Saccharomyces cerevisiae S288C: one gene and its partner. The gene in region 1 interacts genetically with each later gene. Each region holds a gene or a part of one and is shown in the gene's direction. Other genes may lie near its edges.

What was found. A genetic interaction does not mean that the proteins touch.
Region 2: mutations in UBX6 (region 1) and MFG1 together harm fitness more than expected from each alone (negative genetic interaction), as found in Saccharomyces cerevisiae (one large-scale study listed by BioGRID).

Annotation. Positions count from the first base shown.
Region 1 is NC_001142.9:346,884-350,165, reverse strand, and holds UBX6 (Ubx6p), read left to right. Parts: upstream 1-1,528; coding exon 1,529-2,719; downstream 2,720-3,282. Other genes in the region: cullin RTT101, read left to right, coding at 1-586; YJL047C-A (uncharacterized protein), read left to right, coding at 988-1,122; phosphatidic acid-binding protein CHM7, read right to left, coding at 2,841-3,282.
Region 2 is NC_001136.10:35,064-38,673, forward strand, and holds MFG1 (Mfg1p), read left to right. Parts: upstream 1-1,733; coding exon 1,734-3,110; downstream 3,111-3,610. Other genes in the region: GTPase-activating protein GYP7, read right to left, coding at 1-1,414; olichyl-diphosphooligosaccharide--protein glycotransferase OST4, read left to right, coding at 3,424-3,534. UniProt on the Saccharomyces cerevisiae protein: Transcriptional regulator with a general role in all morphogenetically distinct forms of filamentous growth, namely haploid invasive growth, biofilm formation, and diploid pseudohyphal growth.

The DNA of each region.
Region 1 (3,282 bases):
GATGTGGAACTTGCACCACTGCGAAGTGGAGTCGCCTTATATCATACAGGATGGAACTAACCTAATATTTGAATTGACCCTTTTCCAAACATGTGTGCTGACTTTATTCAACGAAAGCGATCATTTGACCTTGCAAGTTATATCAGAGCAAACGAAACTGGCGTACAAAGACTTAGCGCTAGTCTTAAAATCCTTCTGCAATTATAAAATTCTGACAAGAGATATTGACAACACATACAGTATCAACGAGAGCTTCAAACCTGATATGAAAAAAGTGAAAAATGGGAAACTACGTGTGGTTCTACCGAGAACCGCGTCTCTCCAAAGTAGCAACACAGGCGGTGAAAGAACCAGTTCTGCACACCACGAAGGAAGTAATTCCCAATGGACCCAAGAATTACTAAAGGCATGCATAACTAGATCCGTTAAGAGCGAGAGGAATGGGCTAGACTACGACCATTTATTTGAAACGGTAAAGCAGCAGATAAAAGGCTTTAGTGTTGGTGAGTTCAAAGACGCCTTGGCCAAGTTGTTACGAGACAAATTCATAACTAGGGACGAATCAACAGCAACTTACAAGTACTAAGACTGGTGCCATCTTATATATTACCTAACTACTGAGATAGTTTATAATCCGTACCAGCCCTAACTTTTTTTCCGACAGCATTTTATTTCCTTTCGTTTTTTTCGACTTCGTCGCTTTCTCCTCCATATAAAAAAACATCAAGAGATAAAAACTATCTTTCTTGTCCTTGTCCACGTTCAATACAACAGTTACACTGCAAACGACATTAGTGCAAATGCAAACTGTAGTCAATTTGCCGTATGCCTGACATACAACAGGTGTTGTATGAGTGTGACAAGGACACTTTATATATCTTTTTCAATCTCTCTATCCGGCCTTCTTGGCAGGATAGCTTTTCGTTTCAATTTGTTAATGATGATAACCAAAGATGCATAGTTCAACTGATTGAACATACTATCGAAATGAAGATAAAAATTTCCATCGAAATTAGTCTTTCGCTCCTATCTGAACATTACAAAAGAAACGAAAACTGTATTAGTAATATGCTTGTAATTGGAGAAGGGCCGAGGGGCGAGACCATTGTGGAGCGATTTTAAACCTCTTGCAGCACGAATCGTAACGGACCCAGCGCGTACTTTATTCTCCCTGTGCATTCGTGGAAGTTTTGAAACTCTTAAAAGTGGGCTCATCTGTCTGGTATTATCTGTGCCCCTGTTCTACATGTACTCGTGCTTTCTTTATTGCTTCTTTCGGTAACTCATCTTGCACATGCTATTCTTTTCGGAGTTAACGAAGCCAGGAGGAACCTTAATGGATTTACCTCTAGCGCGTCAACCCTAGAAGAGGGACTTTTTCCACATGAATAGTCAACTTTTAAGATTCGTTAGTAGTTGTATAGGGACATATATATGCACATATATATAATTATATACTTATACACTTGCTTACAGGGGACATTTTTGACCCTCAAAGGAAGTGAATTACAGGTATTGAATAACAGAAATGTACGAGATGTCAGGTATAGACAGCCTCTTTCATGATCGAGTTGTTCATGATTACTCTCATACTAGTGAGCAGGTTATCGTCGTTTACATTAGTTCAGCAGCCGGGGACAATTCTTGGCTTCATCAGTGGTTCAAACCAGGAAATCTTAGTGACGAGGAGCGCGAAAACATACTGTGGGTAAGGTTAGTAAATGGTACTAAAGAGTGCTTGCTTTTCAAGAGCATTTTCCCCTCCTCATCGGCGCCAAGCATTAACATATTACAGAACGGTCTACTCGAATGTTCTATCCAAGGTAATAGCCTTTCTCGTGAGCAGGATCCTTGGGAAACCTTTATCAATGGGTTACAATCAGTCTTTAAGGGTCAAGTAACAAAGAGGAAGTTATTTTCCAAGAGCAATGAAGAATATCAAAGAGTCAAAAGAATGATTCAGAACGACAAGTTGGAGAGGAAGTATGTTTTTCAAAATACTAATGACCCGCAAAGAAAGCCACAGAAGTGGAAGCAGTTGACAGTTACTGATAATGTTAGTTACAAGAGTCAAAAGGGGTTTCTCGCCCAGAACTACTGTACTCTACAATTGAAACTGCCCAATGGTTACACAATCTCTAATACTTTCCCTCCTCAAACAAAATTACACAAAGTAAGGATGTGGTTAGACTATAATTGCTACGATGATGGAACACCTTACCTTTTCCACAGAAATATACCAAGAGTGACTCTTACGCGAAATGACGAACTCAAAAGTTTGCAAGAGTTGGATCTGTTGCCCAGATCGACTCTCATCTTAGAACCGCTGGAAGCCAATAACAAAACATTCGACTACATGGAACAATCTTCTCTTCTACACAAGGTTTACTCAGGTTTGACATCTTTTTGGGCGAAAGAACCGGAAGTAGATGCTTCCTCCTCCCGTCTTGGTTACCAGAGGTTGGGCACAAATGTGTCAAACAGCGCCAACTACTCTTTACAAAAATTATCTAGCTTAGACATGGTGTCGGACGGGGGAGGAGGAGGTGGTGGTGATTCAATGACTCCTTCAGCATATACTACCCCAAGGATGTATCCTTCTAATGGTACTTCTCAATTGCGACAAAACGTGTCTGAACTAAACTTGTCTTCCAATAATTCTGCATCTAATACCAAAGTTCGTACATTAGGTTACTCTAATAATAACGGCAACAATTAAATGTGCTTTTGTTTATTTCCTATTTGGTTATTCACACATATTTTCTTTCTTCCGTCTATTAAAATATTCATATTTATTTTTTATTTATACATATATATTTATTTATTAGTCACTCAGTTCGTCAACGTGGTTGTTCTTCCATCATGATTTTTCTTATCTCATTATCGTGGTTTTCATTATCTTGCACAGGTCCTTCATTTGTATTTATCTTCAGATTATTCAATCTCTTTAATAGATCCTCGCTACTGCTTTCTTTTGGCTCGTGCAAATCCTGGTTCTTATTTTCTTCCTTATTATTATTCTTTTCATCAAGTTCTAATTGTTCTAATTCTCTTTCAATTTCTTCTTCTGCTTCTTCGTCTTGACCTTTATTATAATGAGCTAATAAATCATTGACCTCTTCGGTACGGTCATGACCCTCTTTAATCTCATCTAGTAAGTCTTCTACTTTTTCGGTAGAACCAATATATCCATTAATTGACTTAATTACTTCGTTGGATTCACTTAAAGTTTGAATTAAAACCGCATTAGTAGCACTGGTGTCTATTTGAGTTCTTACTTGA
Region 2 (3,610 bases), on another chromosome or scaffold:
CGATGGTATTGTATTGAAATATCTCCAAGTTTCTATCACAGCGTCTCACATCTTTAGATATTCTGAATAATTGATCGTTCCAATATTCCTCTTCATCTTCATCGTCAAATTGTAAAAAATCTTTTGACCAGGTTAGTTTCAATTGATCGTATTCCGCGGCTAAAGTTTGATCGATTTGTACCCTCTCGTCTTGAGAAGAATCCCACGGATATATTTCTAAGAGAAAACCCCAAACTTTCCCTCGCAAACTGTCATTTTCTAACCCACCATGAAATATGAAATCCTTAACTTCGTTTACCGTGACCCTCAGCCTCCCATCGTTCTCATCCCATAGCGAATTCCATTTCGCTTCCGTTAAAGGAAATTGTCTTTGCAGAGCATTATTTATTTCAGTATCACTTAATTCATCAGTTAGATTCAGGTCGTTGAAAATGTTATTCCTATACGAATCAAAGAGTTTGTTCTGCTTTTGATACCTCTCAGCTTCCTGTTTTACTCCTAATGACCAGTTTGCCAAATACACTCTTGCAGAGTCATAATCCTGTTCAATTTGTTTAACCTTCTCATTGTTCAGAAGCTTTTGCAAGTATTCATTGTCGATTTGTGATTTTTGTATGGGTGAGTTGTTAGTCAGCCAACTATCGATAAAATTGGTAGACTTGGTAGTCACGTCTGCTATCTTGCTCATTACGTTCCATTTCCATTCTTGGAATTTCTCGTTTAGTTTCACACCGGCGGTAGCGAGTTCAGTTGTATCTTTCTTCGAATTGTTATAACTTTCCAATAGATCCTTGGAAACGAAATTTCTCAAATCATTCAAAGAGGGATTTACTAACCAAAACTCTGGCTCTAAGTTTGATTTCTTGAGTTCCATCAGTTCGTTGATTTTGTTTCTCAAATCTACGCCACCCCAATACAATTCGTCCGAGTCATCAAATGGGTTCATGGATTTGCGTAGTCTTTTTAACTTGTCCGTAGTTGATGGGCAGAGTTGGTCATGAAAGAACAAGACAGGAGGTTGAAAGCCCGTAAACTGTTCTGTCAAGGGATATATTACCAGAGATCCGACATACCAACCATTTGGACTAGGAGGCCTAAATTGGATGCAGTATATTTGTGAGAGAGAAATTTCGAAAGCTTGACCTAAAGAAGTATTGACCAGGTTACTAAAGTTTATTGAATTTTCAATAACAAATGGTGTAGAAGTTGGACATGTGCCCACTTTAGCTTCATGTTTTAGTAGTTTTGATATCTCTAATGTGGATAAGCCAGATTCTGGGATATATTGGAGAATTGCTTGGTGGGATAGCTTATTCGCTTCCAATGTGAGTAGCAGGAAACCAGCAATATTATCTCTAGCATCGCTTGTTGGGTGTAAGAACACTTTAGATTTGCAGAATAGTATCTTACTCATCAGGGGATGTATGAATGACTCTTGTAGAACTTTGCCAATTTGTGCAACCTATATCTGAGAAACTGAATAGTATATTTGAGCACGATAAATTGATTTATATCTGACCAATTTATGGAAAGTTCTTAACTATTTCTTGCAAATGCGCCTCTCTTTATATAGAGCAGAACTTTGCCCCATATAGTATTGTTTAAGCCTCTCGGATTTCTTTTCTCATCTTGTGGGGCTTCCCGCCTGAACTAAAAATATTAACTATGGAGCAATAAAGACAACACTTGACACTGTTCATGGGGCAGAAGGAAAAGCAAAGATTATCTGCAATATGTACCAAGGCCCACCGCAACCGCCTCCTCAAGCTGTGCCGATGCCTTACATTGTGAATAATAACACACCACCGTACCCAAATGGTAATATTAACTTTCCTCCCACCGCGCAGCAGAATATACCGCCCACGGTTTATCCACAACAAGTGCCATTTCCAGGTCAACCACAGGGGGGTCAATTTCCACAGCCTTCATCAGAACAGCAGGTGTTTAACCAGCTTCCACAAGTGACTCAAACTTTTCACAACTCTGCGCAGAATACGAATGCAACTGGGGGCCCTGGCAGCGGGTCTATGCCAATGTTTACGCCGGTAGCATCCTTTCCCCATCCCATGGCTACAGCAGCAACGGCAGCTGCTCCGTTACCACGGTCTGCATCCCAGGCATCTTTATCTATGTTACGGGTGCCGTATCATGTAAGAAAATACTTATCTAATTTGGCGATGTTGAAATTGTACGAAATAATAAATGAGGTGAATACGGCAATGGGTAAGATTGGCCTGCTTTCATTCTGGACAGAATTAATATCAGATATTTTTACACCTGATGCAGTTATAAGGTATAGTAAAAAGTCTATGACAGATTATAGAGAATTCGAATTTATCATCCCAGTGTTCCCAGTTATTTGCTCTACATTAGGCAGATTTGGCATCGTTAGAATGGAAGTTAAGGTTTTACAATTGAAAACACAAGTTCTAAGTAATTCTACGATTTTTTTCAACTGTCCTCGTGTCACATTTGTCTATTATTATCCTGATGGTTCATATATTACACATTTTTCCCAAATGAAAGGTGCTTTCGATTTGGACTTGAAAATTAATTGGCTGGACGTATCTATGCATAGTTTTGTCCCTGATATTGAATGGAATGCAGTGGAACGGCTTTTGAGTGATGACACAAAGTCTACAGAAATTGAACAAATATTCCGTAAATTGAAACAAGAAGATGTCAAAGAGCAAGGGAATTCTTTTGCAGAAAATAATGCTACGAATGTTCCTCCGAATTTTGAGGCCATCACTCAGCTGAGATCATATTTTGACGTATTCAGAAACGTCTCTGTGTTTGGCACTCAAGAAGGGTTGATGAGAGTCATGCAAATAAGTACCGTTATGTCTACTTTGAAAAACCTTCGAAAGTTTCAAATTGAAAAGAACATTGATAGTCCCGTGACCGCCCTAAGTGCGTACATTGACGCCGACAAGAAGGACAGTGGAAGCGAGCCCTTGCACGCAAAGAGGCGACGCAACAGCGGTATCTCTCCTCGCACCACGACGTTGGGGCCAAACGGCAACTCCAATACAAGCAATGAAGAGCTTCCAACAAGTGATGTGAATGATATTAACAAAGACATGACAAAAAAGAAGATGAAGTTTTAAAGAAGGTAATTACCTAACGTCACCCACTGAAATATTAAGAGAATTGCATGAATCTAGCAGAATGGGAATGTGACATGGTAGCAGCAACCGCAAGGTGTGGCATAGATTATAGTAGTGACAAAACTGTACAATTACTATATAGTGAGATATAATACAATGGTTTATTCAAGATATATTAACCCCCGGGTAATGGACCAAATTTGGAAAAGTCTCGGATTCTCATAAAAGCTTAATAAATAAAGAGTATTTCGAAACAAACACGACAATTACACTTGCAAGTCAGTAGAGAAACCCAGTACAGAGCAAGCAAAAGATGATCTCTGATGAACAGCTGAACTCCTTGGCCATCACCTTCGGTATTGTGATGATGACTTTAATTGTCATTTACCATGCTGTTGACTCCACCATGTCTCCTAAGAACTAAAGTGGTTACATTTGGATAGCGAACTTCAGTTTTTATTATACGTCGCTTTGTGTTTCTGCAAAACAAAACAAAACTA